2 linked regions of the Macaca mulatta genome follow. The protein of the gene in region 1 interacts with the protein of each later gene in a biochemical or structural test. Links are inferred from orthologs where the notes say so. Each region holds a gene or a part of one and is shown in the gene's direction. Other genes may lie near its edges.

The links.
Region 2: the proteins of KPNB1 (region 1) and KPNA3 form a complex in vitro, tested with the Homo sapiens proteins (2 studies listed by BioGRID and IntAct, with this or other methods). The link is inferred for Macaca mulatta from reciprocal best matches to the Homo sapiens genes KPNB1 and KPNA3.

The regions. Positions count from the first base shown.
Region 1 is NC_133421.1:62,381,961-62,386,322, reverse strand, and holds the start of KPNB1 (importin subunit beta-1), read left to right. Parts: upstream 1-1,412; 5' UTR 1,413-1,752; coding exon 1,753-1,792; intron 1,793-1,893; coding exon 1,894-1,952; intron 1,953-2,210; exon of another isoform or gene 2,211-2,873; intron 2,874-4,194; coding exon 4,195-4,362.
Region 2 is NC_133422.1:28,953,997-28,957,646, reverse strand, and holds part of KPNA3 (importin subunit alpha-4), read left to right. Parts: intron 1-1,132; coding exon 1,133-1,218; intron 1,219-2,478; coding exon 2,479-2,565; intron 2,566-2,917; coding exon 2,918-3,087; intron 3,088-3,650. UniProt on the Homo sapiens protein: Functions in nuclear protein import as an adapter protein for nuclear receptor KPNB1. Binds specifically and directly to substrates containing either a simple or bipartite NLS motif.

The DNA.
Region 1 (4,362 bases):
ACTGTATGCACATTTTTTTCTTTTCTTTGAGACGGAGCGCAATATCGGCTCACTGCAACCTCTGCCTCCAGGGTTCAAGAGATCGTCCTGCCTCGGCCTCAGGAGTAGCTGGGACTATAGGCATGCGCCACCACGCCGGGCTATTTTTTTGTATTTTAGTAGAGACGGGGTTTCACCATGTTGGCCAGGATGGTCTCCGACTCGTGATCCGCCCCGCTCGGCCTCCCAAAGTGCTGGGATTACAGGCATCAGCCACCGCATCCGGCCCACATTTTCTTTATATGCATTTTGCTAAGAAAAGGCATTCATGAGTTTCTTCAGGAGTTCAGAACTAAAACAGGTCAAGAACCACGATCCTTTATGCCTGTACACACATTCTTTCTGGTTCGAGGTTGAGCCTTTACAGGGTGAAGCATTTCCATTCTGTCAAGGATGGGGTGTCTAAGTGTAGGATTCCCTTAGCTCACCCCTAAGCAAGTCAGACTTAGTACAGGTCTCAAGCCCTATATAAGCAGGCCTAGGGGACTCCTTGGAGAGAAAGCTGCTTGTAGGGACAACGGCAGTCAGGAGAGCTTGAGCTTATCAAGCCACTAACCAGCTGTACGACCTTGGACAAGTTCCATACCCTCTAGGCTCCTGAACCCATTCCTTACCAAGCCACTAACCGGCTGTGTGACTTTGGGCAAGTTCCATACCCTCTCTGGGCTTCAGTTTCCACATCTACACATTTCAAGTGGAGCCACATGGCCTTACGGATCCGTCCCAGCCAAGAGCAGGGTACCAAGCCGACCTAGCCATTAAAGCAGCTTCCTGCGGGCGCGGCGCAGGACTTCAACGGTCCCCCCTCCCCCGCTCACGCCCGCGAAAGCCTCGCTCAACACGCCCCTCGGAGCGACGGCGCTTACCCAACCGCAGCCCCAGCGGTCGAACCCAGCTCCGCCTCTTCCCGGGGGCGTCCCATCGTGCCCCGCGCCGGGCTCCGAGGGCAGCCGGGCGCCTCCCGCCTTCCCGCGCCCCGACCCCGAACTCCTCTCCCCAGTTCTCCCAGGCACCCTATCCTATCAACGCCCACTATCCCAGCCAATCGCGCAGGCTCCGAGTCGTGCCTTCGGTCCACCCTCCTCGGCGCTCAGCCGGTCTGAGCTCAAGGCCTTTACCAAGCCCAACCCAATCAGCGGCGGGCTCTCTCCGGCCCCATCCCAATCTCCCTCCCCTCGGCCAATTAGGGCGCTCCATTCCCCTGCCCGCCCAGCCACCCGGGCCTTGAAACCAGCAGGCGAATGGGCGAAAGGCGGCCTTTCGACGCTGAGCGCCTGGCCAATTGGGGATTCCGCGTGGCCAGAACAGCGGCCAATCGCCGTGGAGCGCGGCGCCGCCGCGGCGAGGTCCGGCCCGAATATCCCTCCGCCTTCCTCCCGCCCTCGCTCCCTCCCTGCGTGCCGCCTCTCACTCACAGCTTCTCTTCCTTCTTTCTCCCTCCGCCTCCCGAGCACCAGCGCGCTCTGAGCTGCCCCCGGGGTCCCTCCCCCGCTGCCAGCAGCCCATTCGGAGGGAGGAAGTAAGAGAAGAAGAGACTAAGGGGAGCTGGAGCGACTACCCAGAAAGAGCCGGTGAATGGGCTTGTGGTGACCCCCGCCCCCCACCCCACCCTCCCTTCCCACCCGACCCCCAACCCCCATCCCCAGTTCGAGCCGCCGCCCGAAAGGCCGGGCCGTCGTCTTAGGAGGAGTCGCCGCCGCCGCCACCTCCGCCATGGAGCTGATCACCATCCTCGAGAAGACCGTGTCTCCCGGTAGGACGCAGGAGCCGGGGGTCGGGCTGAGGTGATTGGGGTGGGGGAGGGGAGGCCCGGCCCCTCTGACCCCGCTCCGTCTCCCACTTTCCTCCCCCCAGATCGGCTGGAGCTGGAAGCGGCGCAGAAGTTCCTGGAGCGTGCGGCCGTGGAGAACCTGGTGCGTGCTACCCCGCCGCGCCCATCCCGCCGCGTCCCCATCCCCTGCGTGCGGGGCCTTCCCGCCCTCCGGGAGGCCCAGGCCTCGGGAACCTACCCCGCCCCATCCCGTCCCCCTCCCCCCCAACCCGGTCCAACCTAACCCCGCCATCGGGAAGCCGGTGGGTGTGTCCCGCCCCGGGCCCTGCGACTGGCCAATGGCGGGGCGCGCCGGGCTGCCTGTCGCCCAATCATTGCGCGGCCTGAGGGCGGCGGTGCAGCGGGAGGGAGAAAGAGGGAGGGAAGGGAAGTTAGGTTGCGCGGCGCTGCGTGTTCAGCAGAGGTGGGGGTGGGGGAGTCAGGCCTAGGGGCCATGTGGAAGCTCTGGGCCCGGGTGCCCTCCCTGTCTGACCCCGGCCGGCTTATCCTTCCTGTCCCGTGGCCCCTGTGGCTCTCCCCACCTATTTCCTAGAGCTCTGCCCTTTCCTCGCTACCTTGGTGTGTGCTCATGGCCAGGCCTGGCACCCGACTGCCTCTTAACCCATTTCCACTAATATTTTTCCCTCTTCTGCCCGGTTATTCCTCTCGGGGTATTTTCTTTTTCTTCCTTTTTTTTTTTTTTCCTTTCCTTCTGACCTGGATGAATAGAAACCTAATCACTAGGGATCTGCACCCAGACAACAGTCTGAGGCTCATCTTTGAGATCGGGCCTGTTTCCTGATGAAATCACAGAGGAAAGTTACTCGTTTTTCATATTTTAAAATTTAAGGGGTCCGGAGAAAATGAAGCTAAGTCCGCTAGAGACTGGTCCTTTGTATAAAAATGTAGGATGGATTGGTTGAAACAGCCTAGATGCCAGTTAAGTTTCTCTTTGGTGTCCATCTCCTATTGGGAGATGGGGTCAGAGGGAAGGATTGGATGATGCTTGACATCTTTGAGAAAGGTAATAGGAAATAAGTCTGAATAACATTGTAACCATATGTGTTTCTTTGTGTTATATAGGCAAAATGTCAACATCAACAAAGTGACAAGGCTTATTTTATACAGGCTGCCTTTGAATGATTTTTTTTTTGTTCTTCATATGTGCCAATTTTTACAACTAACCTGTTTATCCTTTCCTAGAATAGATTTTTCCACTAGTATAGGCTGATAATTCCATTTAGGGTATTATTCCTGTTTCTGCTTTTGCTAATTTTGCAAGAAGCTTTTTATCTTATTCCTAACATTCTTAACATTCTTTAGTGGTACATAATTAATAAAACTTTTAAGAATTATCTTCTGCTGTGATTGCAGAACTTGTTAGCAGTAAGAAAAATGTATCTGCTTTTGGCTTTTCCTGCTAACTTTGCTGTTTGGGCACGGTTTTTTTGCTGGAGAGAGAGGTGTGTGTGTTAAATTTTTAAACAAAGGGAGTAGTTTTTGAGGCCTGTGGATTACAAAAGGTTACAAAAGAACATGCTTTTCAGGGATCCACTGTATTCCTCAACTAAAGTCCAAATGTATAGGAGCAAGTAATTGTTGATTATTAGATACAAAGTTATTTTTCTTGAACAGCTTGCCTGAAGATTTTTTTCTTTCACTTTTTCCCTATTTCTAAATATCTTACCAATTTTCCTTGTAAATCTGCTTTTTTCGTTGTTCCCTTTTTGCTGAGTGCCCACAAATAAAACGGAGGATGAGGCTCCTAAGTTTGTTTAGGCTTATCTATATTTCCCTCTCTCATAAAAGATCACCTCCTTCCATGGGATGAAAAGCTACCCTGCTGCTGCCATGAGATGGAAAGTTGGATCATTCTTTTGGGACCAAGGTTTTTGAAATTTAGATAAACAGTTTTATTTTCTACCCGCATCGTAACAGCCATTCATTCAAGTACCAGACATTATTAAGAATTCTTGGGACACCTCGGTATACACAGAAGACTAACTACTACCATACTCTAAAACCTTGCAATTCAGGGAGTATAACGTGACAATTTGGGTACTAGGAATGATTTTGATAGGAAAATCTGCAATTCCTCATTAAGTGCTAGGCTCCATGAGAAAGGTGGAAGACTTCCTGTTATATACTAAGTAACATTTTTATAGAAGTCTTGTAGTAGGTATTTTGTGGTTTCCTGAGATGCTTATGATATACCAAAAAAAAATTAGACATTAGTTCCCCCCCCCACCTCACCCCTCCTCCGGTGGTTCAGTGCTCCATAAATTATTCTCAGTTGTGGAAATTCCCAAGATAATTTTATTTACAAATTTATCTTCCCTTAACAGCCCACTTTCCTTGTGGAACTGTCCAGAGTGCTGGCAAATCCAGGAAATAGTCAGGTTGCCAGAGTTGCAGCTGGTCTACAAATCAAGAACTCTTTGACATCTAAAGATCCAGATATCAAGGCACAATATCAGCAGAGGTGGCTTGCTATTGATGCTAATGCTCGACGA
Region 2 (3,650 bases), on another chromosome or scaffold:
TTAAGCTATTCTGCATACTATTTATTTGAACATTATTTTCTTTCCTCCCCTTTGCAATGCCCCATCCTTAGCGTATCTGTGGAATACACTCCTCACTCCCATCCTAAAACACACACACACATGCACAAACACCCTGTTATTTGCTTCTTAGTTAGTTTCAGCTCTCTTGATCTAATCCTTATCATTCCTACACATCATGATCCTTCCATGCATGATACCTTTTTTATTTCCAGCTGTCACTGCCTTTCTTTTTAAACGCATCTTTGAGAAGCTAGTTCAGTTGCCACTTTCTTTGTGAGGTCTTCCATCACTATTCAAAAATATAGTGATCTTGTTTTTTCAACAAAATTATACAGCCTTGTAATATCCCTAGTATGTAAAGCAGATGGTGTAATGGAGACAGATGGGGTTCTAGCTTTAAGACCAGCCTAGAGCCTGTGATAGTGGTTAAAGTGAGATGATTAGGGCCTCAACTAGCACTTGATATTAGGGGTGATTATATAAATGTAAGAAATGTTTAAGAGGTAAAATTGACATGATATATTGATTAGATGTGTCTGGAGAGGAAGTCAAAGTCAAGGGAAATAATGACTGGCTGAATGTTATAATACCAGTGGACATAAAGAAGCAGGTTCATAGTGACTGGCTTTGGAGGTCAAAGAGATTTTTAAAGTAGAAATGGCTGCTGTGTGCAGTGGCACTTGCCTATAATCCCAGCACTTTGGGAAGCCAAGGTGGGCAGATCACCTGAAGTCAGGGATTCAGGACCAGCCTGGCCAACATAGTGAAACCCTATCTCTACTAAAAGTACAAAAATGAGCCAGGTGTGATGGTGTGCACCTTAATCCCAGCTACTTGGGAGGCTGAGACGAGAATTGCTTGAACCCCAGAGGCGGAGATTGCAATGAGCCAAGATGTGCCACTGCATCTCCCGCCTGGGTGACAGAGCGAGACTCCATCTCAAAAAAACAAAAACAAAAACAAAAGTAGAGATGGCTAGCAGGCAGTTGGATTATAACAAGGTGAAATTCAAGGACAAGGCAAAGGATAGCCATATCATATCAGTCTTAAGAGTCATGAATTTAAGTGGTAGTTAGTGTCTAAAAAGATGTTTTACTGTTTTTTTTTACAGTCCTTCATTACAGTTTGAAGCTGCTTGGGCATTAACTAACATAGCATCAGGAACTTCTGCACAGACTCAAGCTGTTGTGCAGTCTAGTAAGTAAATTCCTTATTGTCTGAACTTTTTATTTTTTAATGATGGCAAGGAAGTAGAATTTTGTAATAAATTTTATCTTGTAATATTTTTTAAATGATGACTTTTATAAGTTACTTTTGATGACCAATATCTTTTTCATAGCCATTATTAATCTATCATGAAAAAATTTTAATTGTGGTTACTAAAAGAAGAGTAGAGTTTTATCTTTTGGAGTAGACATCATGCTGTGATAACAGGATTTTAAATTTCCATTTCTGATATCTTCAGGATGCTGAATGGCTTCTGCCTTTTAGCTTATGACATTTTAAATTTTACTTTCCTCAAGGTGTGCTAATAATTATTGTTAAATGAAACTGACACAAGCTCTTTAGAAAAGTACTAGATATCACCACGTATGTTGTTTCTTATAGTATGGGACACTTAGCTAACTTTAGGTGTGGTAATCAAGGTGATTTTAAGTAGCATGTGATATGGCACTAAGTTACATTGAATCATGTATTGAGAATACCATTCTCACCAGACCCACAGATGGCTCATGCCTCTACTCCCAGCACTTTGGGAAGCTAAGGCAAGCAGATCACTTCAGTTCAGGAGTTCAAGAACAGCCTAGGTGACATGGCAAAATCGTGTCTCTACAAAATATTAAAAAATTAGCTTTGCATGGTGGCGCGTGTGCCTATAGCCCCAGCTATTCAGGAGACAGAGGCGAGAGGTTCGCTTGAGCCCAGGAGGCAGAGGTTTCTGTGAGCCGAGATTGCACACTGCATTCCAGCCTAGGCGACAGAGTGAGACCCTGTCTCAAAAACAAACAAAGGCCGGGCGCCATGGCTCACCCCTGTAATCCCAGCACTTTGGGAGGCCAAGGCGGGTGGATCACGAGGTTAGGAGATCGAGACCATCCTTGCTAACACGGTGAAACCCTGTCTCTACTAAAACTACAAAAACAAAATTAGCCGGGCGTGGTGTCGGGCGCCTGTAGTCCCAGCTGCTTGGGAGGCTGAGGCGGCAGAATGACGTGAACCCAGGAGTAATACACAGATACAGCAAAAAAAAAAAAAAACTACTTAAATATTACTAGGGGAAAATACTGAAATTGATTATTTTTAGGGTAAAGATATTTGCCACATTTGTTCTTCCAGCAAACTATAATTGGGCAGCTACAATATGCCGGGCTCTGTATTTGATCAATTTCTTTGAGCTGAAATCTGTAAACTCTTCAACATGTTGCTAGTATAAATATTAGTTTTTCTTTATAACAGATGCAGTACCTCTTTTTCTGAGACTTCTTCATTCACCACATCAGAATGTTTGTGAACAAGCAGTATGGGCTTTGGGAAACATTATAGGTAAGTGGTTTGAAAGGAATCCTGTTAAGAATCTAAATTAACTTTTTTCCTACATTGGCATAGCCATTACATACTATGTTTCCTCTGAATTTAATGTGGGTTGACTCTCTTCTTGCTTCATAAGTACTAACTTAAGATGATACTCTTTGAAAAGGATATACAATTTGCTGTTAGCATTGGTAGGTTAAATTTATGTTCCCCAAATCAAAATCTGGAGAAACAACATTTGATGCCTTTGACTAATGGTGAGGAAACATAGAACGTCAGTGTTCCCACATGAGCCATTGCATACATTTCAGACTTTCTCATCCTGAATGTAAGTTTTTTTTAAATACAATTTTCATTTCTGTAGGTGATGGTCCTCAATGTAGAGATTATGTCATATCACTGGGAGTTGTCAAACCTCTTCTGTCCTTCATCAATCCCTCCATTCCCATCACCTTCCTTCGGAACGTCACATGGGTCATTGTCAATCTCTGCAGGAATAAGGATCCCCCACCGCCTATGGAGACAGTTCAGGAGGTAAATGAAGAATTGTAAAGGCCAGATGGTATATTTTCCCTATGTTTGTACTTCAGGAATTCATTTACAGGGGACAGAATAACACATATACTGATTTCATTGCAGGTGTGAGTTTTTTTTGGGTTTTTTTTTTTGAGACGGAATCTTGCTCTGTTGCCCAGGCTGGAGTGCAGTGGCGTGATCTTGGCTCACGGCAAGCTCCACCTCCCAGGTTCATGCCATTCTCCTGCCTCAGCCTCCTGAGAAGCTGGGACTACAGGTGCCCGCCACCATGCCTGGCTAATTTTTTTGTATTTTTAGTAGAGACGGGGTTTCACCATGTTAGCCAGGATGGTCTCGATCTCCTGACCTCGTGATCCGCCTGCCTCGTCCTCCCAAAGTGCTGGGATTACAGGCGTGAGCCACCACACCCGGTGTGAGATTTTTAAAGTAACATACTGTATTTAGTTACTGACCCCTATGAAATAAAAGTTGAGTGTCTAACTAAAAGAAGGTCCATTCATCCTATGCTTATTTTTTAATTGATTATCTTCATAAAAAGAAAATATAAAAAATTCAGAGAG